4 linked regions of the Tamandua tetradactyla genome follow. The protein of the gene in region 1 interacts with the protein of each later gene in a pairwise test. Links are inferred from orthologs where the notes say so. Each region holds a gene or a part of one and is shown in the gene's direction. Other genes may lie near its edges. The genes, in order: TNS2, KPRP, CRKL and OTX1.

Region 1 (7,781 bases):
TGGGGGCATTTCTTCCAACCTTGATTGGTTTATTTTTACTTCATTTTTTTACTAGTTTCCTCCTCTCTCTACTGAAATCCCACAATTTGGGTTTATAATGTGGCCTAGAACCAGTGTGTATGTGTGTTTTTGTTTTGTTCTTTTTTTTAAGCCTCCCTTGAGAGAATAAATGATGGAGAAAACTAACAAGGTCCTGGTTTCTCTTGCAACAAAATAGCATAACTTCCCTGCTTTTGTGTGCACCTCTTACAGGGGTCGGCTTGGTAGATGGTGTCCTTCCCGCCATGGGCAGTATTGGTACATGCAGAAAAATGACACCTTGGTCTCTTGTTTGCAATCCTTTCTCACATAAGTCCTAGGTTATACCCTGTCCAGCCGTGTAGGGTTTTGGTTCGCATGTGCTGCAGCAGTGGACATAATGAATCATTTATCCAGTGGACATAAAAGGTATTCCAAGTGAATTTTTTAAATTATTGGCATGGACTGGCTACTAGCTAGGAAGTGAGCTTTTAGAGAGAGAAAGCCAAGGGTGGAAGGTTTTTGGTTTGTTTTTTAACTATTTGCTGTAGATGATGAAAAGGTAGGGTTTGCCCTCTTCATGTCTACTCTTCTTCCAAATAGTTGTATCCAAAACTGTTCTTTCCCAATCCCCTCCTCTCCCCCCTGTTAAAACAGGAAACAGGGATTGATTTATGTCCAGCTCCTGAATACGTGTAAAATTTGTACAAAAATATCTTCTATGAAAATGATTTGTAATCTGTAGACTTAATACCTGGGAGATGTCTTGAGATGTAAAATCCCCATCCTTTGGGTTGTGGGGTTTTTTTGTTTTCTCCAAATAAATCTGATCTTTAAAGTTCATTTTTATGTTGAAATTCTTTCACATACACCCGTACTCCCAGGGCTTTTATTGGACTTAATATTGATTGTCTGTCCTGTCCTCCCACCATCCCACCATCTCATTCAGGTTTAGGTACCATTTCATGTAAGACCAAAGGATAGAACTACAAGGGAATCTTCCTCAACACTTATTGAGGTCCAGGGCAGAATTTGCCTTCCAGCTGCCCCTTTGGCATTTTTTGCCTGGTGTCCTTTCCTCACCTTTTTTTTTTTAAATAAGCTTAAATTTAGAATATTTTTACATTGTACAGGAAAATTGTTTAGATAGTACAGAGTCCCTTATACACCACACCCAGGCTGCCGAATTTTCTTTTTTATTGTTATACTTAACAATACAGAGTCTGGGAATAAATCTTCACATCTTTAGAACAGTTCCTCCATAAATCTCTATCCTTAAGTAGTCCAAAGCTGCTACCTTGCTGGGTTATATCTTGAGTTCCCATTGACAGGATGGTCTGGGCTAGCACAACTGAGGCCACTTTTTCTTAACCAGTCCTGTGGGAAACGATTGTTGCAAGACAGGAAATGGATTAGCACAGTGGCAGAGAGTCCCTAAGGTCACAAAGGGGTGGAGTATAGAAGGTATACCAGAAAAAATCAGTGGACAATGTTGCAGACCTTGAGCAGGACCAATTGAAGCAATTGCTCTTCCAGGATTCTTTCTGTGCATTGATCACTCTTCTCCAAAGCTAACAAAATAGGGGCCAGTGTGCTGTGATGATGCAAGACTTTTCAGTGTGGGTTTAGGGAGGAAGAAAAAGATGTTCCTGCACAGACTGTAGGGAAAGTGAGCACTTGGTTAACGCAGTCACTTTTCTCCAAACCTTCAATTCTAGCGATTTCCCTACCTATGTAACACTGAGTTCTGGATAAATGGTGGAAAGGAGGAGGACTCCAATGGGAAAGGCTAATTTGAAAGGATAAGGAGGAAGGCACTCCCGTAGCATGTCCCAAAAGGAGATCCTAAGTTCAAGGAAATACTTGGCTCTGGTATGCCCCACATAATCATAGAACAATGTGCAGGCCCTCCCATAAGTCCAGCTGCAGAAATGGATGCTAGGACCATCCATTTGTTCTGTACTAATGTAAATGCTGAGCAACCAGAAAGGGGGGGGGGGGGGGGAGAGGATACAGGTGCAGCAACCTACTTAAAAGGTCATTAGGTTTGATGGCCCCATGTGTATTTCAGTCCACCTAGTCAAATTTCTCCTAAGCAAAGCCAAGTACTGTTCTGGGTCCCATGGCAATGAGGGCTCCAGTTATTGTTAAGGGCGTCACCCCAAGTACCACACCAGGTCACAGCACCTGACTTCTCAGGAAGTGGAAGAGCTTGTGCACATCTGCTCCTCAGAAGCACAATTTGTCAAATAAACCTTGTTCCTCAGCAACTACTATAGCCCCCCAGGGCCACAAGTGAAAGGAAGACTTGCCTTCCCACCCTCTCCCTCTCTCCTAAAAAGAAGGAGTTTGGAAGGGTCGAACTGTACTGCTCCCCGCCCAGCTGCAGCCACCTCCCGGTTGGACAATACACTCTCTGTCCTCAGCCGGGAGATCCGCCTCTGGAGTCAGCTCTGCCCCTTCCCCCGCTCTTCCTGGTTCCCAGTGCCCAAACCCCTCCACTGAAGTTCCCCTGACCCAGTGCTCTTCCAGCCAGGGCAGCCCCACACCCTAAATGTCCCCTCTCCCCTCAAAGTAGTCCCTTCCCCACCAAAGATCTGACCACACCCAGTCACAGGCATGAGATCACCCCGGATCATGGAAGAGGAGGTTCAGCCTTCAGTGCCAAGATTGGCTGCCCTCTGCATAGTCAAGGTAAGAAAACCTGCAGGGGGGAGGGGGGAGGGGGGCCCCTGAAATTGTTTCACCCTTTTAATAACAGCCTCCTGGCTTTCTCCTCCCTTTCCTCTTCCCTTCTGAAGCTCCCACTGCTCTGGGCTGGTAATCGAGATACCTGGCTGGCTCCCTGCACCACCCATTTTTATTTCAACCCCACTAAACCACCTGCTGTATCACTCCCAACCTTGCTCATCAGCTTCCTTCACCCTCCTTCCTCCAGCCCCCATCTCCTTAGTCACAATGTTGAGAAGAGGAATCATGTCTGAGCTAGGGGTTCAGCTACCCATCTTGTAACCCTCTCCCAACTTCTTGGGAATTCAAAAGTTCCTCTTATGGCCCCACCAGGCTGGGCAGCAATACCAGCATGACTGTGAGGTCCTAGCCCTGCTCACTTCTCTCTTCTGAGTCCCAGTATTTCCCTTGGTATATACCTTTAGAGATTAGAGCCTACCCCCCTGGCATGCATCCCAGTCCCCAGCCAAAGATCCTAGTGAACCCTGGAAGGGGCAAAATGTTAACAAAAAGGGGGGGGGGGGGCAAATGTAGGCTCCAAAGAAATGAAGACATTTCCACACCTTGTCTCTGGATTACATTACCAAATCTTGCCAAAAGACACAAAAGGACCTTCAGCTCTGACCTTTTTCCCAGTAATCTTCAATCTCTTGCTCTCTTCAGTCTTCTCCTAACTCCTGCCTCTCCCTTTCCCCCAGCGCCTTCCCTTCCCACACAGCTCCTTACCCTCACATTCCCCTGTGACCCCCACTGATCTAACCCCTGAACCTGCCTACTGGACACTAATGCAACCAAAAGTGGTAAAATCAAAGCTCCTCAGGTCTCAGCTACATCCATCCCCTCCCAAATGCCAGCCTCTGGGGTCTTCACAGTCTCTTCCCTATGCCAGCTTGGAATCAGGTGCTCCACCTCCTCGGACACAGTTGAAAGATGCGGGGGGAAGGGACAGAGGGCCTCAGAGCTAGTAGTGCTGACTGCCTTGGACAGGCACTGGGCATTGTGCCTTGGACACTGGCTTCTCAGAATCTGCCTTTCCACCCCAGTTTTCATCACGGAAACTCCAGTGGGGAGGGTGAAGGAGGGAGAAAGTTTCCGGAAGTGCTCACTGCTAAAGAACGTTGTTGGAATTTAGTACCGGCAATAGGCTCAAGAGCTTCTAGGAGGACATTCCCTCCCTTATCCCTACCCTCCAGATCCCTCCTCCATGGTAATAACTTCCAATTGTACTGGGGAAGCCCAGGGCTTGTATTAAATGTGAGAAGACCCTCTTGAGTAGAAGTCTCCAAGGGAGTGGGAATGATAGTGCAAAGCTAAAACAGGTGGTGGATGGGACTGCTGGAGCTGCCTGGGGGTGCGGTGTAGCACCAGTAAGTTTCCTGTGAGCCAGAGAAGCAGGAAAGGGTGTCCAGCGGCTTGGGAAACAAACACCTGGTGTCTTCACCTGATCTGAGCTCCCCAGACAGCAGGCCGCAGATGTGCTCTGCCTGGGGCTTTGGGGTCAGACCCAGTCCCAAGAACACTCCTGGGGGAGGACAAGTTTTTCTGTCCTTGTTTCTAGCCACCTTCTCTTCAGCATCTCTTTGGAGCGCGTGTCTTTTGCCTGTGTCCTGCCGGGTCAGTCTCTCCCGGACTCCCTGTCGCCATTTCTGGGTCTCTCCGGTCTCTGAGATGTTCCCCGTCGCTGTGTTCTCGGTACCCGTCTTTCTCAAAATCTCGCTCCCCATCTCTTAGTCTCTTTCCATCTTTCCCAGCCTCGGCCTCTCTCCGTATTCCTCTTCCTGCCCATCTCTTTTTGAGTCTGAGTTCGCGGTGGAAGGTGGGGAGAAGAGAGAGAAAGGAGAGAGGACGAGGGGCGGGGAGCGGGCGGAACGTGGGGATTGGAGCCGGGGCGCAGGAGGGAGGGACGGAGCCGCCGCGGGCGCGGGGAGCGGTGGAGGCGGGAGGGAGCCGAGTCGAGCGCGGCGCGCCCGCTCCCTCCTCCTCCTCCTCCACCTCCTCCACCTCCTCCACCTCCTCCTCCTCCTCCTCCTCCTCCTGGTCCCGCTCGGCGCGGGCCGGGGCGGGATGGGCTGGCCCGGAGGCGCCCCCTGCTGCTGCCCCGCCCCGGCGCGCCCCCGCCCCCCCGGGCGCCCCCCGCAGGTGAGTGGCCGCGCCGCGCTGGGCGGGAGGGCGGTGGCATCTGCGTCACGGCCGGCCGGGTAGTGCCAGGGGCGGTCGCCAGGGGGCGCGGGGTCGCCGGGGGTCGAGTGGGCGCGGGGAGTGGGGTGGGCGCCATTGGGCTGAGGTTAGGGCCCGAGGTCAAGGGCAGTTAGAGGCCAGGAAGTTAGAGGCCAGGAAGGTGGCCAGGGGGGCGGGTCCCGGCCGGCCGGAGGTCACACTCCGACCGTCACGGCTTCACGTGTCCCGGGCGCACACGTTGCCGTTGCCGGGAACAGGCACGGTGAAGCAAGTTGCCTGGACACACATAGTTCCCAACCCAGGTGGGCAGGAGCTGGCAGCGGCACTCAGGACCTGGCCTGGGAGAAGTGTGTGCGAGTGTTTTCCTTTTCTGCTTCACATCTGGAGAAACTAAGGCAGAGAGCAGGCACAGATGAGACTGATTGGACTTTCCAGCCCCATTCCACACATCAGCCAGTCTGCTTCTACCCTCAGTTCTCAGATCCCTCTGGATACACCCATTTACTCGGCCTTGCCTCCATCTCTCCTTCCCTGGGCCTCACCCTTCTTCCATGGCTGGGCCCTGGGCTCTCAGCCTCATATCCAACCACAGTTATTTCCAGGAAGTGGGATGGTGTGGGTGGAGGGGGTTTCTCCAAACAAACCCAGAGCTTGGGAGAGAGGGCCAGGCGGGAGCCAACAAGGGCCCTGGAATGTTCCAGGCAGAAGGAAGGCAAGAGCTCTAGGGCGGCTGATGATGCCCCCCCACCCATCCCCCACCCTCCCGCTGAGCTGCGTTTCCTTTCAGGCACTTTTCATGATCCCTATCTTCCCTGAGAGGTGCTTCACAGGGGGTGCAGAGGACTCACAGCCAAGTCAGTCCCAGCCCAGGCCACCCACCTCAGGGGCTGGTGAGTGCCCCACTCCCTCACTGCAAACACTGCTCAGGCAGCTCCTTGCTGGGCCTGTGTGGGGAGAGTCTGAGACCAGTTAGGGTCAGAGGGCATTTGAGAACCTGTCCCCTCGTGAAGTGCTCTGCCAGGTGAGGAGATTGTTCAGCCCCTCTGGAAACAGTAGCAGTAGAAGCTTACAGAAGAGATCCTGGTCAGTCATATATGCAGTAGGAACAGGGAAAAGCCCCTGGCCACAGTGCCTCTCCTCCCCCAATCAGCGATGCGTTCTAGACCAGGCCAGTCCCAGTTGCCCACACTGGCCAGGGGCCTGGAATGTCCTGGGACCCAGCCAGGGTTCCTGGGGGAGAGAGCATTAGAGCCAGAGCCCCTCTCTAGTTACAGGCTGGGGGCCCATGCCTTGTCACACAGATGCCACCCACTGACCAAGATACCCTGGGGACAGACTTCCTGGCCTGGAGAATCTTTTAGGAAAAGGCGTCAGGCTAGCCCCAGCCCATCCAGTCCCACAGAAGTGTCTTTGGTGTGCTCCAGACCACATGGACATGAGGGAGGGGGAGGGAAGTGGAAGGGTCCCACTGGGAGAAGCTGGAGTTGGGGGAGTTGCCTGAGCCGCTGGGACATTCAGTAAATGCCATGCAAATAGAGCAGGGCACATTCGCACATTCTTTCAAATGACAGGGCTGTGGTTCAAGGTTTGGGGCTGAGGACCCTTAGGTCATTAACCCTGATGTTTTCCGAAGATTACTACCTCCTTTCCAAGGCCCATCCACCCCCTTCCCTTGACTCTGAGGACAGGAAATTGGCCATGTTCCCAGGAGGGAGGCAGGAGGCCCACAGAGGGGTTGGAGTGTGTGTTGGGAGGGGGACCTCCTGTCCAGTCCTCAGGCCCTAGGACGCAGGCGGCTGAGGGAGGAGAGCAGAGCTAGAACCATGGAGGTAGTACTCAGGCTCTGGGGAGGCAGCGGGGCGAGGGCCCGGTGCTGGGGGCCTGGGATGGAAGGCTGAAGTTGCAGGACTTGAAAAGTGGGGGGCTAGGGACCTGTCAGGTCGGGCCTGAAACAACCCAGACAATGGGTGAGTGGGGGGAGCAGCTGCGGCTCTCACGGGCTCTCAGGAGAAAGGCCTCCAATGCCTTGGGCCATGGCTGGAGGATGGACCACTCGTGTGGGCAGCGCAGCCTTCCTGCTGGGACTTGGCCTTGGAATGGGTAGGGGTGGAGAGGCAGCCGGGGTGGGGAAGCAGTGCGTGTTTTCCTTTCCCTACTTCACAACCAGTGACATGAGGCAGAGAGCTGGCCCTCGGTCCCGTCTGCCCTGACTCCCAGGAGCCACACTCGGGGCCCCTCAGGATGCACTCAGTCAGCATTCTGCGGACCCTGAGCCAGCATGGTTCCCAGTCCCACCCTCCTCCCACCGGAAGTCCCAGGAGGGCCTGAGAGTCCAGGCGGGGACGCTTGCCTGGACACGGTGTTCCCCACTGGCCCTTGAGACCTGCCCTGAGACCTCGATTCCCACCCCACCCCCACCCCGCCTCATGGGGGGCCGGATCTCAGGACCGGGCATGGCTGTAGATCCCTGAGCAAGATGAACCCCGGGAACACTCCACAGGGGCCTGGCAGCTGATGAGGCTGGAGCCCAAAGGTTCCTGCACTGACATCCCAGCAGGATAGATCCTGGGAATCTGATCTCCTGGTCTCCCCCACATCCTCTTCCCCCGCCTCCACTTCCTGGAGCAGCGACCTGCCCCCTTCCCGTCTGCACTCCCCGCCACTTCCAGGGCCGGGCTTCTCGCACCAGGCAGACAGCCTACCCTCCGCCCAGGGGAAGCGGCTGCCTCCGCCAGGCCGCTTCCAGGAAGCCCTGGGCCCGGCCCCAGCATTGTTCAGGTCCCGCGGCCAGCAACCCGGCCAGCCGGACACCATGAAGTCCAGCGGCCCCGTGGAGAGGCTGCTCAGAGCCCTAG
Region 2 (7,830 bases), on another chromosome or scaffold:
CTGCAAGATAGCTATTCTTCTACAAGCCCAGAGTCTCTGTACTAGCAGGGACACAACTTGCTGAGCAGACATGATATAAGCTGCCTTTTTTATCATGCCAATGAAACCTAGATGTATTTATATTTCACTTAATCACAGCAACATTATAAATTCGTAAATGTGAGTTAAGGCAGATAATGTAGCTCTACTTTTTATGTCATTACATTTATACCCTCATTTCTAAATGTTCTTCATTTACGCATTTCCAAATTCAGCCTCTTTTTCTTCATGTCACTCTGTCTTAGTTTACTCAGGGGCCATAACAAATGACCACAAACTTTGTGGCTTAAAACAACAGACATTTGTTGCCCCCCAGTCTGGAGGCATCCTGTGCTCGCAAGACCGTGCTTGCCTGCTGTCTGCAGGGCTCGGCAGCCTCCGTCCCACGGCTGCCTTCTCTGTGTCCACATCTCTTCTTTTTATATGAAGTCACGCATCATGTGGGACAGTGCCCTCTACCTTCCAATCTGGTCTGGCCTCATCTTAACTACTAACATCTTCAAAGGTCATATTTCCAGATGACTCGCATATACGGGACTAGGGTTAGGACTTGAACGTCTCTTTTTGAGAGGCACAATTCAGCCCATAATACCCTCTATACTTTCTCCATTTATTTAACGTCCATCCAGTGACAACCTGGCTACTTCTGTTTTACCTTTATCTCTGCCCCAGGTGACCTACCTGACTTACTGAAACTGGACTTAGGGAGGAGGACTCAATGGCACCCTGGTGCCCAGAGAAAACTGACTTTCTCAAAGCTTAAGGCTGGGGGTTACAAGACCTTAAGAAATTTCATGGAAATATGAGAAGACCGCTCAGATGATAAATATCAACTCCATTTCAGAAATGAGTCCCAGTACCTTTGGCTTCTATAGTGACGGGGGCAGGTGAAAGAAGATTACGAAATTATAAAAAAGGAGAAATCTTCTAGAATCTATTGAAAATGTACATCTTTTGCAGCCAGAAGAGAAGTGTTTATGGCCTACTTCCCCGGATTAAGAAATCACTAAGCTCTTTTAAGATTTGGCACGTCAGGACTCCAAAGGACCAAAAGTCCCAAAAAGAGTCTCATAATTTAATTAGAACATCAAATTTATTTCATCAACAACGTAACATGAGCACAATGTTCTGGCACAGGGCCTATTTCTTGGATACTAGGATTAACAAAGCACAACTTCTTTTCCTTGAGAAATCATACTCAGTGAGGAAGACAGGAGTGTAAATGATCTCAGAACGTACGGTGCTTCAGCGATGGAGCAGGTACAAAGGGTTCCAGAACACAGAGTGAGTCATGACTTTAGGGAGTCAGGGAACATTTCAAAGATGGTGGCATTGGAGCTGTCTCCGTAGCTGGAGGAGAGAGGAAAGGACATTCCAAAAAACAGCATTTGAGAAGATTTGGCATCATGAAATATCACGGCATGTAAAACCGTTATGCACGGCAGCATCTGATGTCATTGTGGGGTGGCAGGGGAGTGGGGAGGTAATGGCAACGGGACTGACATAAACACGAAAGGGTAGATTATGGCCAGGCCATGAAGGGATTTGTATCCCTGGAAAGGAGTGTGATCATTTTCCAGGTCACGACGGGAGCAAAGGAAATAATATAATTAGCTTGGATGTTTAGGAAGATCACTCTTGTGGCTTTTTGGAAGATGCATGTTTTCTCTGGAGGAAGAAAGAACAGAAGACTAGTCCATCAGTCAATGTAAGAGATGGCCTGAGATATGCAGGGCAGTAGCGGTGGAGAGTAGGAGATGTGTTTGAAAGCATTTATGAAGCAGAATAAACAGCACATGAGGATTACATGTTGGAGTGAGGCAGAATGAGGATAAAGGGCGACTCACAGATATTGTATTTGAAAAAGGTTGTGGATGGGCTATTTTCTGAAATGGGACCTTGGGAGGAGAAAATATGCATGGGAAGATAATGCTATTTTTGTCCACATTGAGGTGGTTGAGCAAAAACTGAAAGTCTAAAAACATATATAGACTCACAGAGATTGGAGGGCTCCATTGAAGCTTATCTAAATGAACTACTTCGATCAAAGACCTCTCCGAATACAGAATGTTCTTGGGGAGATTTTACCTCAAGAAACAAAAGACAGTGGGCCATGGTGGCTCAGTAGGCAGAGTTCTCGCCTGTCATGCCGGAGACTCGGGTTCGATTCCTGGTGCCTGCCCATGCCAAAGAAACAAAAAAAAAGAAACAAAAGAATGTGTCACATTTATACCTGCCTTTAAAGGATTCAGCCCTAATTCCAGTTCTTTAACAACTTTCTAATTCTTGAACCTACATATCAGAAAAAGAAGAATACCAGGACTTTAATCCTCTGCTTTTCGCTTAGTGAGCAGTCTCTGAAATTACATTTTTGAAAACTCCAACACCTAGCCTGATCATCAACGGCAAGATTTAGCCAGCCTCCTCTCTTCCTAAGAAGCATGAAGTAATAGGGATGGCTATGTTCTTTGGTCACTGGATTAGACAATATAAATTCATTTTCCAGTGATTACAGATGCATGATCCAAGCCCAATGTCATGGCATCCATCTGTCCATCCGCTGACTAATATAAAGTAAGAAATCTAGAGACACAAAGATGAATAAGGTAGAGACCTTCCCTTCAGGAAGTGTGTGCATGTCGGGAGATGAATGGGAGAGGCAGTCAATAGGATTCGGTAGTTTGCCTCATGGTGGGTGGAGCCAGCAGGCCTATGTTCTCAGTTTACTTTTTTTACTCCTTTCCTGGCTACCTTTTCAGTGAGCATCAAGCCTGGGGCTGTCCAACAGAATACCTTGACCAAATTGTGTTGTCAAAGGAATGACTTATTGGAGTGGAAAAGAGACTTGGTCTAGGAGGGAGGATGCTTGGGATCCAGTCCCTGCAAGAGCAGCTGTTCGTTTTCGGTCCCTGGAAGGTCTCTGGGCTTTAGAGTTCTCAACAGGGTGGGACTAGATAATTCCAGGTGTCCTTGTGGCTCTGATATTCTGGAAACCTGTCCTCTTGCTCAAGTCTGGAGTGGTTCCTGGAGCGCCCTTTGGGATGAGCGATGGGCTCCAGAGCCAAGACGCCCAAGTCACGTCTATCTTGGCAGAGACTCCACGTAAGAGGGGTTTTGTAGACACAGCTGGCATGTGTGCAGCACTGCAGGTCACAAAGCACTTTCATACCTACCTGATTTTATCTTCCTGAGAACCTGGTGAGGTGGCTGTTATCACTCCCATCTTCCTATGTGGAAACAAAGCCCTGATACTAAATGGCTAATTAAGCATTAAATTCAGATCGCTTTTCTCCTTTAATTCACATAATATTCCTATGATTTCTTCTGTTTCTCCTTCTCTCTACTCTCCTCCTCCTCCCCGTTGTTCTCCATCTCCCTCTTCCTTCTTCATTCCCTTCATCTTTTCCTCTTTTACATTGTATGGATAAGGAGGCTCATGGAGGAACATAGCTGTCAACCATTTAGTAAGTGCTAGAGCTGAGAGTCAATTCCCAATATGTCTAAATCCGAAGTCTGTTCACCAGCTTGAGCAGAATCCTAAATGTCTACAGGGGCGAGAGGGTCACGTAAACAAGCGAACTGATCCAGGTAAAGAGTAAAAGTTGAAAGTTTCCTTTTAATTTCCTTCGAACATCAAAGAAAAATAAAAGCATGAATGCAATAATAAATGGAAACACACTTTGTTTTGAACTGTAGATGTGAAAAGAAATAATGGAGAGTTGTAGACGTAAATAATGGAGAAAGGTACATGCCCTATCTGAGAGGGGCAGTTGTTGATCAGGGTGACGGAAGGTAGGTTCACCTATATCAGATCCTTGATTTTAAGTTAAATGCTGGATGTCTGTAATCTTAAGTAAACTTTTCCTATTTCTAGTATAATAAAATTTTCCTATTTCTATTATATTATAATTAATTACAACATTTCTAAATCCTATTAGGCAAAAGGTCTCATCCTGCCTATATCTGGTTCACAAGATGCCCGTCTGTAATTTCTGTCCTACACTGTTCTGTCTCCCAGGACTACTCCATAGCATGGGCTGAGTCCCTGCAGTGCAGCCTTCAAGTACTTAGCTCAGAAGCGGGATGTGGCAGGAGCCCAGTGGTCTGTGCCCGAGGCTTAGAGACAGCCTTCACTCTGAGTGGATGTCGGATACTGTAAATAAAATTATGGGCTGCATGCTTTTGTTTAAAATAATTGGCTTACTCATCACAGCAGTTCAGGAAAGAAGACTGAATTTCCTCCATTTTGCAGATGAATACATTGAAACTAAGGTTGGTGAAGAAGGTCACACACCATTTAAGTGCTTTACCTGGGGCTTCAGACTCTGGGCTCTGGCCTCAGATTATCTTCATTCCATAGTATTGCTTTAACTTTGAGGCTATTTTCATTACTTCAAGTCAGGGAACTTTTTCTCCTATGTATGTATCAGGCAGAAACTGGCATAGGAGAAAGATAAGGCTTTAAAAGCATCTCTCGGAAGAGAAGGTCCCCTTCTGCTCCTTCTCCATCCCTTCCACCAAGCCTTTCAGGGATGGAGAAGAAACTGACAGGGTAGAGGACGGAGGAAGGAAAGGAGGATCTGTCCCTTCATGGTGCAGGGCCGTGGACACGGAGGTGACACTCCCACACGGGCAGGTGACTGCGAGGACAGGCATACAGGGAGGGGCCCGCTGCTGGAATGCCAGGCTGGCCGATGAGGCACACAGATGCCAACCCGTTGTCTCATGGACCAAGCCGGACCCATAACCCTTTATATAAGGATAGCCCAGCGCAGAGCCTCAGCTGCGTGCCTGCTTGCCTGCGAGAAGGGTGAGTCTGGGTCCTGGGTCGGGGTAAGGGGGGTGCTCAGGGGTCAATGAGGAGTTGGGGGCTGAGAACAACTGGCACATCAGCCTGAGAAGAAAAGTCCGGTGAAATTTTAGGGGACAAAGAAAACCCCCTGTCGCATTTGTCTGAGGACCTGGGGCTGTAAAGTCGGTGGATTTGGCTTTTGAAAATCCCACCCTCAGCCTCACATCCCACTTTTCCCGTTTGGATGAGCCCGCCCTGGAAAAGACACAGTAGTAATTTGCACCTTGTGAACCGAGTTGAGTGTAGGAGGGTCGCCTTCTCCCAGGGCGTGTGTGTGTTCTTTATAACTGCAGAATGGAAAGCTTTGTCTTTCAATAAAAAACATTTTCCAGCCCTGCAGGAGCTTACACAGAAGTCTTTCATTATAGGAGCCAGTAGTCAAATCAGCCCTCCTGCAGGGCTCCGCCTTTTGCTGTCCGTTCTTGGACAGGTGGGCTTCCGGAGGGCAGGGGTGGTCCGCCACGTCCCCTCCCGTGGTGTTTGGTGCTGGACTTGCTGCCGCATCCCTGAGGCCACGCGGGGAAGAGTCTGGCAGCTGGGCGCTCGGCGAGGCTGACCTCGTGGTGAAGGTTCCGCACTCCTGGTGACTTGTCTGTCCGGATGACTCCACCCTGCCTCCTAGAGGCACAGGGGATGAGGCAGTCCTGGACAGGAGGGCGACCCGCCTGGGCAAGCCGGTTCTGAGACTTTAGGAGGTTGGTGTGTCTTTTAAGTGTGAGATTTTATGCATGTCCCTAGAGGGCCTGCTTAAATGAGCTCACCTAAGAAAAAACTGAATATAGAAAAAAGTCTATTTTCGGTTGTGTATGGGGTGCCAAATAGCTGACCGGATCCTTTACTTCCCAATTGCATCTTTTATGTTACATGAACCCCGATGGTGCCTGTGTGCAAGTTTCCAAGTGCGTACTTTTACACACTTTTGCACAGATGCTGTGGTGCATGCATGTGAGGGAAGCTGTGCTCTAGTGGGTGGTGTCTCCTCCTAGGGCTCACCTGAGGAGCTCGGGGTTTGCCTCTACCTCCTGTCGGGGCCCCCCGCCCCTGGGGGCTGTGGAGGTGGCACGAGCCTCCTGTCCTCACGGACAAGGGGGACAGTCCTGGGCCCTGCTGACTTACAAAGGAGCCTCCACGGGGGATTACGGAACTTGACTGCGAATTACATTTAACTGGGTAGAGGTTGAGGGCAGTGGGGGGAAAGGCCAAGGAAGAAACAGAGCGGCTTCCCTTAGGTTCTGATCCCTCGTCTCCAGCCACTGTCACCCTGTTGACCCTCTCTTTGCCCTCAGGTCCCGCTCACCTGCCCACATCAGGACCATGTGTGACCAGCAGCAGAGTTGCCCTCAGCCGCAGTGCTGTGTGAAGGGTTCTTCCTTCTGCACCCCCCAGCGCGCCTGTACCAAGAGCCAGGTGGTAGCCCAAGCTCCTGGGGAGATAAAAATGGTGGCGTGCCCCCCACCATGCCCAATTCAAGTGGTGAAGTGCCAGGCTCCGTGCCAGTCTCAGCTTTCCTGTGCTCAGGGCCAGGCTCCACGCCAGCCCGAGGTTTCCTACGTGCAGTGCGAAGCTCCGTGCCCTGTCGAGACGTGCTATGTAGAATGTACACCCGTTCATTACACAGAACCTAGCGGTGTGGAATACCCGGTTCAGACCTACGTTTCCTGCCCCGCTCCTCGGCCTGTTCACTCTTACGTAGAGTGTCCCCCAGTGCCCCAGACTCAGGGAAGGTTCTCCACTCAGTGCCAGTATCAGGGCTCCTACCGCAGCTGCAGCCCCCAATTCCAGCCACGAGCTTCCTACAGCCGTTACAGCCCCCAGGTCCAGTCACGAGCTGGCTACAGCTACTGTGTCCCCCAGCGCCAGTTCCAGGCCCCACTGAGCAGGTGTGCACCCCAATACCAGGCCCAGGGCTCTTATGGGGGCTTCTCTGCTCAGCGTCGGTCTCGGAGCACCAGCAGATGCCTCCCTCCGCGTCAGCTGCAGCCTTCTTACCGCAGCTGCTCCCCTCCACGGCGCTCTGAGCTCTACTCCAGCAGCTGCCTGCCAGCAAGATGCTCTTACAGCTGCTATAACTCCTGCACCCCGCCCCGCCGCTCCGAGCCCATCTACAGCAGCGGCTGTTCTCGAGGCCCGGTTTCAAGAAGCTCTCAGAGGTGCAGGCCCAGGTGCCGAGTGGAGATCTCCTCCCCATGCTGCCCCAAGCAGGTCCCACCCCAGAAGTGTCCTGTGCAGATTCCACCCATCAGACGCTGCTCTGAGAACTGTGCCCCGAGACCCTCCAGTGCCCCCTGCCCGGAGCTGAGGCCACACCCACTCCCTAGTTCACGCTTACGTCAGCCACGGCGTCTTGACCAATGTCCAGAGCCGTCGATGCAGAGACGTCCCCTGCCCGCTCCACGTCCACAGCTACGCCCGGAGCCCTGCCCACGACCTCTGCCACGTCGACTTTCAGAACCCTGTTTGTGTCCAGCACCACGTCCAGTATCTCCTCCGATTCCGTGTCCGGCACCGCGCCCGGTATCTCCCCCAGTTCCATGCCCGGCACCGCGCCCGGTGTCTCCCCCGGTTCCATGCCCGGCACCGCGCCCGGTGTCTCCCCCGGTTCCGTGCCCGGCACCCCGCCCAGTGTCTCCCCCGGTTCCGTGCCCAGCACCACGTCCAGTATCTCCTCCGATTCCGTGTCCGGCACCGCGTCCAGTATCTCCTCCGATTCCGTGTCCGGCACCGCGCCCGGTGTCTCCCCCGGTTCCGTGTCCGGCACCGCGCCCAGCCCCACGTCCTCGCCCGATGCAGTATGAGCGTCCAGCCCAGCTTCCTCGTCAGCAGTCGTGCGAGCGCCCAGGTCCTTGCTCACTTGTAGAGCCAATTCCTCTCCCAACACCTTGCCCAAGTCCAGAGCCGTGTGTGAGGCCTTTCAACCATTCCCCAGTTCCATGCCTGCC
Region 3 (7,221 bases), on another chromosome or scaffold:
CACCTGAGTACTGCTGACCTTACCAAGTCAATGAAGTGACACATCACGTAATTCCGTATCTGCAGTGTCATTCTTCTCTAACTTTAGCATCATTGCTGGAAAAGAATCAAGGCAAGGAAGAAGGGACAGAGTTTGCTCTTCTCGTGCCTCCAGAAAGGCAGTCTGGATCCAGCAATCCAGGACTGCCCAAGGTCAACAACAGGTCCCAAGGTCCTGTCCTCTGCGCAGAAGCAGGTGCAGGGTTGGTAAGCAAGGAATCCACTTAATTGCTTGAAAAGACTTGTCTGTCCTTTGGGACTAGACTGTGATTATCCTAGAGGAAAAAAGTCTAAGTATAATACCATCTGGAAACCCTGGGAATAAGGAAGCTAAGAGAGAATCATGAACCTATATACATTACACCTATATATTTTGTTTCCTTATCATTTCTCCTTTTGATTATTTTTAAAGTTTGTCTCATCTGTGATAAAGAGGATAAGGAACGTACATTAATTTTTTAATGAGAAATTCCAAACATAACGAAGCAGAATAATATAATTGACCCCCCCCAAACACACACACATCGTGCAGCTTTGACAACTGTGAATATGTGGCCAATCTTTTTTCACCTTTATCCAACTCACACCCTATTCCTTACTGGATTATTCTGAAGCAAAAGGAGAGGTACTTTGTTCCATCTTTAAGAGAAGTTTTTAAAGAGGAGCACATAGCAACTTGCTAGCGGAACAGTGGTGCAGTTGAAATGCAAGCTGGAGACAAATCCAGCAGTCCTCCCTATTTCAAGATTGATATTCCTTTTTGGTGCTAGAATTTACTTGGGAGGGCCTTGGTTTCCCTATCAAACAAAGAATACAGACTAAATCATAGGTAGTTGTGTAACAGTGAAATGGGACTGTGCTGGTTTGAAAGAATGTATGGATCCTAGAAAAGCCATGTTTTAATCCTAATCCCATTTTGTAAAGGCAGCCACTTCTTCTAATCCCTATTCAGCATTGAATGTTTGAAACTATAATTAGATCATCTCCCTGGAGATGTGATTTAATCGAGAGTGGCTGTTAAACTGGATTAGGTAGAGGCGTGTCTCCACCCATTGGGTGGGTCTTGATTAGTTTCTGAAGTCCTTCAAAAGAGGAAACACTTTGGAGAATGAGAGAGATTCGAGAGAGCAGAACAACACTGCCACAAGAACCATCAGCCAGCGACCTTTGGAAATGAAAAAGGAAAACACTTCCCAGGTAGATTCTTGAAACAGGAATCCAGGAGAGAAAGCTAGCAGATGACGCCTTGCTCACCATGTGCCCCTTCCAGCCGAGAGAGAAACCCTGAACTTCATTGGCCTTCTTGAACCAAAGTCATCGGCCTTCTTGAACCAAGGTATCTTTCCCTGGATGCCTTTGATTGGACATTTCTACAGACTTGCTTTAACTGGGACATTTTCTCAGCCTTAGAACTGTAAATTAGCAACTTATTAAATTCCCCTTTTTAAAAGTCATTCTGTTTCTGGTATATTGCATTCCAGCAGCTAGTAAATTAGAACAGGGGCCTTGACTTCAAATCAAAAGAACTGACTTCAGGTTGCCAGCTCTACCTCTTACAAATTTTACAACTTGAAACAAGTCACTTAACCTTTATGAGCCTCTGGAATCTATGAAATGGTACTTTGTGGGACTCTGATTGGATTAATACAATATATTATATAAATTGCTGTGAATTGAAAAGTGGCACATAAATGAGATATTATTGAGTTCTTCAACTAAGTAAAAGATGACTAAGACTTTGAGCTTCTAAATTAGGAAAATGCTGTTGACAGAAAAGGGGGAGTTGACAGAGTTTAATCCAAATGGAAGATTAAACAGAGAGATATGGGGGCTAAGCCTTATGTCCAAATGTGTATTTAAGTACAAGAAAAAACTACACTCTTCTTACTTTCACTAAAATAAACATTCTTCCACTTTCCTCTGGTTTCTTCCCATCATTTTATCCACCTGCATTCAAAAAGCATTTAAGTGTGTCTTATGTGCTAGGCACCGCAAATACAAAAAATACTAGTCTGTCTACCAGATGCTCACAGGTTAGGGAGGAACAGGGATACTTAACAGACAATTAGAATAGAATATGATAAGGCCCATATTAGGCTGTGATCACAGTGTTTGCATAGTAATGATAGGGTGTGGTCAGTTATTGTTCTACTTTTAGAATACAGTATTTCGGCATTACCAACAGACAGGTGACACCTGAAAACTTCATTTCTTAATATGAACCTACCAAAGAAGCTAGACACTGAGTTCCTACACTTACAGAGACAAAAATGCTATAGAAAGAGATGAAATATTATTTGGAGAGTTAAGAAAAAAATTATATTAGTGTCCCAAGAGCCAAAGAAGGAGACTTTTCCTATGGCCAGGGAGATCAACACAATGATGGTTTCAACAGAAAGAAGAGATGGATAAGGTACGGGTAGAAGCCAGGTTAAGAAGGCCTGGGCAAGGAATAAGCACTGACAAAGTGGTAAAATCTGCCAAAGAGAAGTAGCTAGAAAAACAAGCGGAGGTTTTTCTCCCCATCCTAAACCAAGTACCAAGACATCTGCACATGCTTTTAGGCAACTGAAAGCCCAGGCAGAGGCTGAGTAATAGTAACAGAAAACTCTTCTATAATGCTTACCATGTGCCAGGTACTATTCTAAGCACTTCACTTGTATTAACTTGTTTAATACATTTACTGCTACCTAGCGGGTAACAACTATTTTACTATGCCCATTTTATAGTTAAGGAAACTGAGACACCAAATGATTCACTTGCCCAAGGTTGCCCAGACGGTCCATGGACTGACTGAGCCAGGACCTGAACCCAAGCGGTCAGCTTCAAATCCTGTGATATCCAAATTTTACCTGGGACTAACACGAAACGCAAGCATCTTTGGGGAAGAAGAAAACCTACTTATGCTGAGTAACAGAAGGCACTAGACTTCGTATCTCCGCTTTACCCTACACTGGGACCGACCTATCACCCTACAACCTCGGGGATGCAAACGGCCAGTTAAACTCCACTGGGAGAATAATCTGTGAGTGTGTGCTGCCTGCCGCTCCGCTTCCGCACATGCTTTCTTGACTGTCCAGTTCCGGGGGACGGTGCTACCGATCGGACACACCAGTAAGCCCAGTGGTCTCTCCCATCAGTCCCTCATTCAACAGATACTTGGCGTCAGCTGCAGGCCTGGCACCGTGCTGGATCCAGGGGTGAACAAGACACGCAAGATGCCGGCTCTTTCCAAATTTCCAAATCTGTTGGGGAGAAATGGCCGAGAAGGGCGCGGCTGGAGCGGGGTGAGCGAGGGCGACCGGTAAGAGATGGGGCCGAAGGAGGCAGAAACCGGGGCTGAGAGGCGTCTGCACTTCCCCCGCAGCCATCCGGCGCCCGCGGCGTCCAGGCTCGGCCCCGGATGCGGCCTTCGACCCCTGGAGGCCCGCCGGGTCACCAGGCCGCGCTGCGGCCCTGAGGCCACCCCTCAGAGGTCATCTATCTGAGGGTGTCCCCTCAGAGCCACAGACTCGGCACATTACGCTTGACCCTTTGTTCCCTCACGAGCAAGTTTTCGAAGCGCCACTGCCTCTCGCCTCCAGTTGGCCCGGGCGACGCGGCGGCAGCAGCGCCCCCGGCGGCGCTCGGCGGCCCAGAAAGGGAGTGTCCGCCGCAGTAGCCGCCGAGGCCGCCGCCTCCTCTGCCCGGAACGCGGGAGCCGGCGCGAGCGGCGCACGCCGGGGGCGACGCGAGCGCGATCCTGATTGGCTGCGCCGAGTGACGCCACGGGGCGGGCCCCGGCGGCCGCTGGGAGCCGAAGCGCCGCGCGTGCGCAGACGCAGCGCACTGAGCGGAGGGGGAGGTGGCCGGTCCCTTCTCCCGCGTCCGCCATTTTGTTGCTGTGGCTCCCGGGAGCGGGCTGAGCGAAACCGCCTCAGAGGCACGGTGCTCCTCGGGATCCGGTGCAGAGCCGTGGGGGCGCAGAGCCAGCGCCTTCCGAGCCAGGAGGTCCCAGAGGCAACCCCGGCGCGCCGGACTGCCCGAGACCTCTGAGGCCGTCCGGTCCCCGGGCCCTGCCCCGCAGTCCCCGGGTCTGTTCCCCTCAGCCCCCACCCCGCGCCCCGAGTCGGCCCCGGAGCGGGCGGGCGGCGACCGAGGAGGATGCTGCGGGCCCGGCGCCGCGGGGAAGGAGCCGGCGCTGCCCTCTGAGCGCGACTCGAGGTGTGCCGGAGAGGCCGCTCCCTCGGGCCCGCAGCCGCCGCCCCGACTCGCCTCGGAGTCCCCCGGGCCCGACACCATGTCCTCCGCCAGGTTCGACTCCTCCGACCGCTCCGCCTGGTATATGGGGCCGGTGTCCCGCCAGGAGGCGCAGACCCGGCTCCAGGGCCAGCGCCACGGCGTGTTCCTGGTGCGCGACTCGTCCACCTGCCCCGGGGACTACGTGCTGTCCGTGTCCGAGAACTCGCGGGTCTCCCACTACATCATCAACTCGCTGCCCAACCGCCGCTTCAAGATCGGGGACCAGGAGTTCGACCACCTGCCGGCCCTGCTGGAGTTCTACAAGATCCACTACTTGGACACCACCACCCTCATCGAGCCCGCGCCCAGGTACGCGCCGAGACGGGGCAGGGCGGCTCGCTTGGGGCCCGGGAGCCTGGGGTGGGGTGAGGTGGTCTTTGGAGCCCGCCCTGACTCCTCCCCCATTCTTGAGCCGTGTCCTTTTCTCAGGATGTATTCCTTAAAGCAGGCTAGTGTTAGGGTCTGGATCCCTTGGGTGCACATTGCTGTGGCTGCAGGGTTACCATGCTCTTCGCCGCTGGTCGCCTTCTCTGTCTGACCATCCGACCAAATTAGAGGGTTTTGTGTGTGCACGCGGGTTTTATCTTTTTTGGACCACAGGCTTCTTTGCGAATCTGACGATAGCCGTGGCATCCCCCTCCCTCTCCCCACCCCCACCCCCACCCCCCGCCGAAAGTGTATGTAAACAAGTGTGCGCACCATTCCAGGTTCTGCTTCTCTGCAGATCTCTGCGCTCTGGGGTAAGAACTCCGAGAGTGCAGCCTTGATAACAATCGGCAAATGAAAATGCCTGAGCGCTTAGAAACTTTTAAATGTGACCTATCAGACCTGGATACTGATATCCTGGTGTCAGGTGGGGCCAGACAATTATTTTATAATTATAATACTAGTAATACTTGTAAAGGGTGTCTTAGCCTCATCGAGGACTTATTTTAAGTTCCCCACCCCCACCCCAAGTTCTGGGTCATTAATAGGCTACAGATAAATTTGGTTAAATTCCAAGATGGAGTAAAGCTAGAATGTAATTTAGGGGAATGTTTGAATGATACTTGATCTTGTGCTAGTTGAATTTCACATGTAGCTTTTGTGTTAAGCCTAATAGTTTATTATCTATATGAAAGTTAACGTAAAATGACACTGAGCATCAGTTACGTGCTTTTCCAAGTAGAATGCATTATTTTGATTTTTTTGGTCATTTTGTCTTGATAGGTATTTTATATGCGAAGTCTCCTGGGACTTGAAAATTTTTTATTTAAATGATGCCAAATTTGAACTGAGGAAATTGCCCAGAATTTTTAAAATGTATTTTCATTACCCAGTTCTTTTCTTAAACAACATTTTAAAAGAGCAAATTGTTGTTGTAGGTTTTTCAGGGTGAGATTGTTTCTGACGTTCACGAATTTGCTGACAAGATATTACTCAGAAGGTTAAATGTGAACAACTATTATAGTCAGGGAGCACCAACTGGATGCCAGAGTTTTGCTCCTGGTATAGACAGAGAAAAAAATAAAACCATGACAGTATAATGACTGTAAGATTAACCACTATGCGAAAGTGACTTTAAAATCCAGGCGAAAGTGGCTATAAATCAGATGCTGGATAACAAAGACCAGGACACCAAGAATCAAATTGCTGAGGTCTCTTGGTCCCTGCAGATGCTGGTAATTGCAGTCAGTTTTGAACACAGTGGTAAAGTGGACAGAATCGTATTTCCCATAAGTAATGAGGTTTTTTTATCCTTTTGTGTAAATTACTCCCTGATTTCTGAAGGTGAATCATATTATTGATTTCAGGCCTTCGTTAAGCATTGAGCTTCATTGAGTTAATGGTAGTGGTTTGCTCATAGAGAGAGAGAAGTAGATGTAAGTGTGCTGCAGTGGCTTCCCACTACCCACCAACCTGAGTCCCATCTGTCTTCCCTGCGAGGAATGATTTTCTGTCACCATCCTGGTCCCCTCCCTCCCTTCCTTCCTTTGGTGCAGCCCCGCTGGACCGCTGGCTTGAGTCTTGGTAGCCAGCCCGGCTCATGGACCTTTGTACCTTTGCTTTCAGGCTCTTGGCCCTTCACTGACCACTTAACTCTTCTATTTAAATCCACTTATGGTTCTAGTCCTTTCACAAATAATGGAGCCTTCCCTGACCCTACAGAGTCAGCCCCCCCGTTCCCCACCCCCACTCCGTCCGCCACATTCAGTTTTTTTCCTCCCATGCCATTCCCTACACCCTGTCCCCAGCCCATTGCTGTAACAGCAGTGGTTTACCCTTTCCCCATGGCTCTGAGTGCTATTACTTGTACACATTCAGTTGGCTCTTGGCTAGATTTCCTTTGTCACACTGAAGCTTTGGATTGCTTCTCCCAAACCTGAAATCCCATCGATTTGGTTTTTATTAGTCTTGTAGAAAAACCTATCCCTCATCAGCTGATAGCACCTGTCAGCTAATCAGCTAGTGTTTGGCCAAATGCAAAATTAAATGTAATGCCCTAAACAAGGTAAATGAAGTTGTTCAGCTTTTCAGGCATCAAAACAGAGCTCTTTAAGAGCACTTTTTGAGCTAAACCATTTATGAGAGTTACATCACAGGATTTGGGTACTGGTTTGAAAGATGGGCAACAGGCTTCATTTCTTTGGGATGAAACTTGCTTTCTAGTGGAAGAGACAGGCGAAAAGCAGAAAAATAAAACACCTGAAAGAGTAGTAAATACTATGAAGGAAATAAACCTAGGCCAAGTGGCTATAACAGAAGAGGCCTAGCTGAAGTAGCGTGCTCTGCCTGAAAGAAGCAGGCCTTGGGCTGAGTCTTCCAGCAAAGGTGCCAAGGTGACAAATACAGCTGTGTGGGGGAAATGTGGTTCTTAAAGGAGAAGAGGGGATCATAGGAGAAGAGTTTCGGTATACTGGCG
Region 4 (7,608 bases), on another chromosome or scaffold:
GGTGAGGCATGAGGATGGAACTAATTGACATGCATCCTTTTACAAAAGACAGGCTTATCATCTGAGAATGCACCATCTTTTTCTCTGGATAATTATTTATTACATCTAGCTGGGCTCCTCCATTTGTTGGTTGAAGAATGCTGTTAATATTTATTCTGTGTTGATAGAAATCTGTCTTGCCACTGAGTAAATCCCTCCAATTAATATTTTCTTCTCTAACATAGCACTGTCATTTTTTTGTGAAAATGGTTATCTGTTTATTTATTACAATACTGAGTCATATAAATTTTCAATAAAAGCAGAAACTTTCTTACCTTAAACACCGCTGCTGCTTTCTTGCAATGAAAACTTGACACTTTGGCTAAGTGGAATTTGTGTATCCATAAGACTCTACATGTGGAAAAATGGTCCTCTGAAATGCAGGACAGGGCACGGCTGTATTTGGAGCTGAATAAGTTTATAACATCCCAAAGGGGCCCTGCTGACACATGAATGTGAATTGAAGAGCAATTAGTCATATGTTCTTAGCAGTATAAACTATCATCCAGGCAAAGGGTCATCTCTTTTGTTAAAGATTTGAGGAAATTTGTGATTCCACCTCACTGAAAATGATAAAATCTTGATGTATTTTCCACATTATTACTTATTTTCATTGTTAAGTTTTGCACTCTTAAGGAGAACTATGTCTTTGATATCCCACAGTCTGTAAGAACTTAAATGAAAGGAAGGGGGTTATCGTTGGGGAAGGAGGTGGGTGGATAATGTGGGCAGGTGTGTGTGTGATGAGGGAAAGAGAACTTTTAACAAAAAGTTCAGGTTACAGAAAAAAAATTGACGATTTTATGGTAATTTCCATTCAGTCATTCTGCTACAGAAGGGTCCCAAACAAAGCAAGCTCGTTCAACAAGTCTGGAGACTCAGAGGAAACACTTCAATAGAATTTATATTTTAGTCTAGATTTTATAAATACGTATATATTTGTACACACCCATATATACACATATACATACACGTACACACATAAACTCTGTTCGAAAAAGCATGTAGCCGACTCCAGCTGCCTTTCAAAAAGCCAATTAAAACTTGCTACGGTAGAATTTCTTCATGACAAGGATTTTAAGAAAAGTTATTGAAAAGTTATCAGAACCAAGTGAAATCAGGTATTTGCCCTTTTTATTCGAACGGAAGAGCAGAGTGAGCCGCGGCTTTTCCGGGGGTAGCTCTCAGAACTCGGGGAAAGCCAGCAGATGTAGATCGCCCGTCCCGAACAGCCTGGGGCTTGGGCGGCCAGCGTCACCCCCTCGGTTCACGAAGGACTGGGGAAACTTTCCCTCCCGAAGGGCTACTGAGCTGAGAAGTGCAAACCTGTCCTCGCACCGGATTTGCCAGGGCGGTCGGGAATGGCAGCGCCGACCCGCTTCCCGCCCCACCTGCCTCAGTCTTGAGCCTCGCGGAGCTTCCATTTGGCTCCGTGGCGCCTGCACTCCCACCGGCGGCGCTGGAGTGCAGACCCCGGGGACCGGCCGGGTCAGGCCCGAGGCGAGGGCGCCGCGTTCGGGCTTCGCCCGGCTGGCCCAAGAACGCTCTGCCGGGCGTGGGCGCCGGCCCGGGACGCCCAGGGCCGGGGAACTTGAAAGCCCGTACTGCGGGAGGAGAGGCTGACGGCCCGGGAGTCGCTGGGGAGGAGGAGCGTTAGCGGCAGGCTGATTTGAGCACAGCCGGCTGGCCCTTATGGAACTTCTGTCCCTGGCCAGGATCCCTAGGCCCGGAAGCCAAACCCTTCCCCTTGTCCGGTGTCCTCCAGAATCTGGCCGGGCCTCGAGGTTACTTAGCTGCGGGTTCCGGGTCCCGGGTCCCAACTCCCTCTCCCTCTCTACGGCCTGGGGACCTTGAGCTGGGTTCGCTTTTCCTCCCGAAGCGCTGACCTCTTTTCCCCTCCCCGCGCTGCGGCCGTAGCTGAAATAGTCGTGGCTTCTGGCCCAGCGTCTCCCACCTGGACGTTTGCCTAGCGACGATCGCCTCAATCCTCTGCGCCTCGTACAGGAAACTTTCATTTCAGTCTCTCCCTCTCTACTTTCCTCCCTCTCCTCCCTTTTTTCTTCTCTTAATCCCGGGATTTTATGGGCTGAGCATTAAGAAAATTCGCCTGCAATTTGGGATTAGATAAATACTCTCATGGGGGGGGGGGGAATCCCTGCTACTTGATACCTCCCGACTTCCCCCAGACCGGTGGCAGCATCTGGAGCTGTGAGCGCCATACTCCCGCGCGGCGGGCCCTGGGGACCGCGCCGGCACATTCCAGAACGCACCGCTGCCCGATTTAGCTGCGCAGATCCCCGGGCCGGTGCTACGGCTGCAGGCAAAACCGCGCCGAAAGGAGGCAGGAGGCGAAGTTGCGGGGCTAGGGCAAGAACACGCACCCCGGAGCGGGAGGTCCAAACCCAAGCACAGAGCGCACAGGCCCGGGTAGGGCAGGGCTACGGTCGCGGACGCTGCCGGAGCGTACGCCAGGAGTCCCGCACACATCCTCCCACCAAACTTGTCCACCTCCAGCAGGCGTCTTTTCCTGGGCCTGGGGGAGGGGAGTGTATTTTGTTTCTTTCTTTAAACCTCAGCACCATCTCCGTGGCTCCGAAACGCGGGCTACTCTCGACGGGGGCCTTGGGCGAGCCTGAGGTGTGTCCGCCCCGGGGCCAGCGCCGCGCTCTGCGCAGCTTCTTTTCCTTTTACAGCTTTTTCCACCCCACCCCACCCCCCATGTTTTTCCTTTCCTCTCGTTCTTTTATTCTGCTTTCTCTCTCTCTTTCCCTTTTGTGAATGAGCCGCGGTGTCTTTGTTCTGTAGAGAAGCGCCCGTGTCGCTGACTTTTGTGAACCACAGAAGGATCTTGTAAAACCTCCTTTTCTCCTTCGTACTCCCTCACTCCCACCCCTCCTTCCATGCCCCTTTGATTAGATGTTCCCTCATCGTCAAAAAAAAAATGTAATTTCGTTGGTCTGGCGGCCACTTTCTTTGAACATTAGCTCGCTTTCAGCTCCAACTTCAATTAGAAGGAGTTGATTTTGAGAGATCAACAAAAGAACCGACCAAAGCCTTATTAAAGGTCCTAAGAAGATCTCCCGGGCCCTTTGAGAAGCAGTTAAGGAAACAGTGTGCCCTCCATCATATTCTGTTACCGTATTTTATTCGGACTCCAAAGGAAAGTGTCGCTTGGGGGAGGGGGAAACACTTTGATGAGCTGCTGCGGCGGCCCCTTTTCACTCAGCGAGCTCCCCCTTCCTCCTCCTCCTCGCCCAGAGCCCGGTCGGCTTGCGAGGCGGGACCCAGCGGCCCGGGCCGTGCGGGCGCTGGCCACGGCGATGCACCTTGTGGTTCCATGACTTGCCCGCATACCTACTCTCCTTCCTGTTCAAACTTTTCACTACGCCTGTTAGGGGAGGGTGGGTTAGGAAAAAAGGGTAAGAATTCCTCGAAAGGGAGTAAATCCGTGAGTAATAATATAGGAGGAGGTGCCATTTAAAAGAATTACCTTGCTCAGGAGTAGGGGCGAAAGCACTTTTGTGGCGCTTTGAAAAGTCCACTCAGGTGGACGAGTTTGAGAAGTTTGTTCGGCTGGGAAATGGACTTCGCCAATATGAGCAATCCGGTGAAATCGCCTCAAGGAGGCTCACTCCGCGGCACGTGGAAAAGAAATTGAGGGCAGGGGGTCTCATTTTCCAACAGACTGTCCCTGGTAATGGAAACGAGGAGGGAGAGAAATAGACAGTGGGAAAGAGAAAGTTTCCTATCAAAATCTCTCCATTCAGAAGTAAAGTGTGTGTGCGGGGAAAGGAGGGAGGGGAAGTGGAGAGGGGGAACGTTGGACTCGAACGTCTCCGAAAAAGCGTTTAAGATTTTAAAGCACTCTTCGTGGGGACCGGAAACCCCAAGAGACTCCGAGGAGCAGGTAAGTGGGGATGCCTCCCTTGTGGGTGCTCTTCCCGGGCGCGAAAGTACTGAGGTGCGGAGGAGGGATCTGCGCGCCCGGAGCTGCTCTCGCGCTCCGCAGAGTTGCCCGCGCCAGCACAATCCGCCCCCGGGGTCGGTCTGCAGGTGGCTGCGCAGAGGTAGCAGGCGCTGAGGTCCGCGGCGCCGCAAGAGAAGCTGGGGGCCCCGCTCCTCAAGCCCCCGGCCCCAGAGTCCTCGCGGCCACACCCGGTCGCCGAGCCGGGTGGGCTCAAGGGAGAGCTAAGAAACCGGTTCTCCAGCACCTCGCCTCCCTCTGCCACTCCCTTCGGAGCGCCAAGAGGGCGGGAGAGGAGTGGGGGCCCCTGGACAGGCCCCGGGACGGGCGCCCCCTCAATGGCCTGGGCTTGGTCGCTGCTCTCGCCTTCCTCGTCTCGATCTGTTTGGTATTTGCAAACCGAGCCCCAGAGTTAGCGCGCGACCGGGGCGGGGGTGGAGGGAGGGCGGGGGAGGGCGGGGTGCAAGGGGCGGGGGAGGGCGGGGGCGCGCAGAGGTAACCCCCGGCTCGAGCTGCCATTGCCCGGCTCCCTGTCACTCAGCCCGCGCGGGGCCCTGGATTGGCGGCCTAGCCCCGTTACGCACTCGGCTCGCATTCACTTACCCGGGGAGGGCAGTAGAAAGGTGATCAATCTTCATCAAGCTACATTTCCAATCACCTAAACAACCAAGCAAGACAAGCTACTCCGACCAGGTAAATTGCTTGATTTACTTAGTTTGAAAAGTGCCTCTGCAGGACTTCTCCAGGCCCTGCTGTCTCCCTGCTGCCCCGAGAGTGCAGCTGTAAAGGCGAACCTCCTTCCAACTCTATCCCCCGTACCCTCCACCCTCCCCACTCGCGGCTGCTCGGCGCGGTCTTGGGCGAGGCAATGTCCCGGGAGCGTGTAGGGCTTTGCAAACAAAGTGTGCATTAAAGTGAAACCTGGAGGAACACGCACAAAAGCCATTGGGTAAGAAGAAAGAAATGGGAGGAGGGAAGTTGGGGAAAGAAAGAAATCCCGGGGTCCAAGACCAGCCGCCTGGCCCGATGCGTAATTCCTGTGCGGCTCTGTTTTGCAGGTTGGCGGCCGGGCGGGTCTCTGTAAGGGCGTGAAGTGTAGATGGTGAGAGGCCGAAGCGGCAGAGAACAGGTAAGGAGAAAGACGCGGGGTCGCGCGGAACTCCGGGAGCGCATTGATTGCTCTGTTTTCCCCCTCCTCTACGCGGTACCCGCTTCCCCCAGTCCTGGGCAATGGGGCGGGGCCGGGGGAGCGGCCTGGAGCCTCTCTAGGTGTGCGGAGGGCCCCAAAGCGGTGCTACGACGCTCTGCCCCCTCCCCCGCCTCCTCCGAAGTCGCCGAGCCGAAGTTTGGAGGAAGTCTTTGAAAACTCAAGGCAGCAGCCTAGCAGACCCTCCGCGCTTGAATCTGGTTCTCCTTTGGTCCAAGAGTACCGGCTGTTGCCCTCTTCTTCCTCCCCTTCCCGGCGAACAGGGCTCTCTCAGTCCAGGCTGAGGGTCCCGGCGGACCCGGGTGGGGTATGGGGGGAGGTAGTGCGTCTTCAGTTCAAACTTCTCCTGCGGTACTCCCTAACCCAGGTCCCGAGGCCTGCTTTAAGAAAAGTTCCCGCCAAACGGGGTGGAGCGACAAGGCCTCCTGGGCTCCAATCCAACTTACCAGAATCTCTTCCTGACCCCCGAGTATAGCGCCTAGGGTTCGGAGCAGTTAGGGAAGCGCAGCTTTGACCTTCTGGCCGGGATCAGCGCGGGCCACGCCGCTGAGGCCTAGTTCTCGGTCGGGTCCGGGATCGCGGGTTCAGGGAGTAGGGATAGGCAGGCAGCGCACGGCGCTTGCCTCAACCCAGCCTCCCAAATCCCGGAGACCCTTTGGATTCGATCAGCCTTCAGACCTGGCCGGGACCCCATTGTCCCTATACAGGACCCGGCAGAAAGAAAGCGCAGACTGCGCCGCCCAATAGAGGCCCACAGCCCCGGCTGAGGTTCCCCGAACTACGGGCCTCATCTTGGAACTGCCACCTCTACCGTGACCCCTTCTGCCTCCTTTGACCGCCTTTGCTGGGCCTAGGTGGATAACTGCGGTTGAGCTGTGGTGAGATTCCGGCACAGCCTTTCAGTGACTGGGAGCAGAGAGGTTAGCTGTAGGGTTGGCTGCGGACGCTGGGGCTCGGCCCCAGCCACGGAAACCTTGAGGGAGAGCAGGCCCCCGAGTGAGCAACGCGTCCCACAGAGGCCGACGTGCGGCCAGTCCTCGCAGTGCCTTGCTTTGGCCCTCTGGAATCTTTACTTTTTATCTCACTTTCAAAAGCAATTGAAACAAAACGAAACAACCCCTCATAGCTTTGGCAGCCTGAGGCCGGCCAGGGCGCCGAGTGAGTGTTTGGTGGTGCAGCCTGAGATCGGCTCCCGCCGGACTCAAAATTTTAGAACCTTGCACTCCGGACGATTTCGGCCCTGCTGTCGCCCTTAGCCTGACCGGGTTTTTCATCAATTCTCAATCCCCCCTGCCGTCCTGCCAGAGTCTTTGGCCAATTTCAACTCCGAACAGAGGCAACGACATCCAGAAACGTTTTTCAAGGCTATGGTCTCTGGACTTAGGGCCTTGTGGATCAGAATTGATGCCTCTGCCCAGGGCTTCATCTTGCTCCCCCTTTCCAACCAGATCTTTGTCTCGGGCAAGACTTGGGAGCTGGGGTGGCTCTGAATTACGGTTTCCCTGTGTCTCGTATCTTCACAGGCCCGGTCCCCAGACGCAACAGAGTTCAAAGGACTGAGCGGTGGGAGTCCCGCACCGTGCCCGGCCCGCGGCCCCCTGGATCCGTCGGGGCGCCTCCACCCGGCTGTTAGCATGATGTCTTACCTCAAACAACCCCCATATGGCATGAACGGGCTGGGCCTGGCGGGGCCGGCCATGGACCTGCTGCACCCCTCCGTGGGTTATCCGGGTGAGCACCCGCCCTCCCGGGCCCCTGCCCCTGCAAACGTTGGGAACACCCAGGTTACCGGCTCTGAGCGCATGCTTTTATTGCCGAGAAGGCCCAAGAAGCTAGTTACCTAGTTGTTCACAACACAGAACCCACTGCTGGCCGCCTGCCGCAGCAGCGTCGCGGGTGGGTGAGGTGGGTCAGGGCGGCGAGAACTTGTGATGAGCACCTTCCCGGCCCGGCCACAAGAGCAACCTGTCTCCTATTATGCTCTCACTGCCAGGGCAGAGCGCATTTACCCGCGAATTCGTTTCCCACGGGTGGCTATTTTTTTGTGTGTGTGGATTTATTCCTTTTCCCCCAACGTTGAATGAGGAATCTAGACACTTGCTAAGCCCTAACGAAAAGCGCTTGGCCCTAAGGCCGAATTTTCCTAATCAACGCGACGGGCTGGGCTGGGCTGAGGTAGGCGAGTTCTCCTTCCCTAATGAAATTGTGCCCAGGACCAGCGGCCTGCACCAAAACCGCTGAAGGGAAGGCTTGAGCCGAACCCTGGGTTTCTTTTCCGGCTCCTCCTTTACCCCCATTTATTCCCTCAGAATGTGTTTTCCCGGTGGTGTTTCGACACACCTCTCCAACACCAGGCCGGGGCGAGGGGGGGGGGGGGGGCGGCGGGCTGGAGGGGACA

Evidence for each region.
Region 2: the proteins of TNS2 (region 1) and KPRP interact in binary tests that used the Homo sapiens proteins (3 or more experiments, as listed by UniProt). The two-hybrid records come from large-scale screens. The link is inferred for Tamandua tetradactyla from reciprocal best matches to the Homo sapiens genes TNS2 and KPRP.
Region 3: the proteins of TNS2 (region 1) and CRKL interact in a two-hybrid assay, tested with the Homo sapiens proteins (2 studies listed by BioGRID and IntAct). The link is inferred for Tamandua tetradactyla from reciprocal best matches to the Homo sapiens genes TNS2 and CRKL.
Region 4: the proteins of TNS2 (region 1) and OTX1 interact in binary tests that used the Homo sapiens proteins (3 or more experiments, as listed by UniProt). The two-hybrid records come from large-scale screens. The link is inferred for Tamandua tetradactyla from reciprocal best matches to the Homo sapiens genes TNS2 and OTX1.

What each region holds. Positions count from the first base shown.
Region 1 is NC_135333.1:114,410,824-114,418,604, forward strand, and holds the start of TNS2 (tensin-2), read left to right. Parts: upstream 1-4,769; 5' UTR 4,770-4,812; coding exon 4,813-4,887; intron 4,888-6,660; exon of another isoform or gene 6,661-6,749; coding exon of another isoform or gene 6,750-6,755; intron 6,756-7,440; exon of another isoform or gene 7,441-7,738; coding exon of another isoform or gene 7,739-7,781. UniProt on the Homo sapiens protein: Tyrosine-protein phosphatase which regulates cell motility, proliferation and muscle-response to insulin. Phosphatase activity is mediated by binding to phosphatidylinositol-3,4,5-triphosphate (PtdIns(3,4,5)P3) via the SH2 domain.
Region 2 is NC_135330.1:2,486,789-2,494,618, reverse strand, and holds the start of KPRP (keratinocyte proline-rich protein), read left to right. Parts: upstream 1-4,823; 5' UTR 4,824-4,849; intron 4,850-5,259; exon of another isoform or gene 5,260-5,586; intron 5,587-6,177; 5' UTR 6,178-6,205; coding exon 6,206-7,830.
Region 3 is NC_135331.1:26,757,508-26,764,728, forward strand, and holds the start of CRKL (crk-like protein), read left to right. Parts: upstream 1-4,219; 5' UTR 4,220-4,317; coding exon 4,318-4,628; intron 4,629-7,221. UniProt on the Homo sapiens protein: May mediate the transduction of intracellular signals.
Region 4 is NC_135343.1:35,958,653-35,966,260, forward strand, and holds the start of OTX1 (homeobox protein OTX1), read left to right. Parts: upstream 1-4,608; 5' UTR 4,609-4,696; intron 4,697-5,061; 5' UTR 5,062-5,102; coding exon 5,103-5,132; intron 5,133-6,733; coding exon 6,734-6,941; intron 6,942-7,608. UniProt on the Homo sapiens protein: Probably plays a role in the development of the brain and the sense organs. Can bind to the BCD target sequence (BTS): 5'-TCTAATCCC-3'.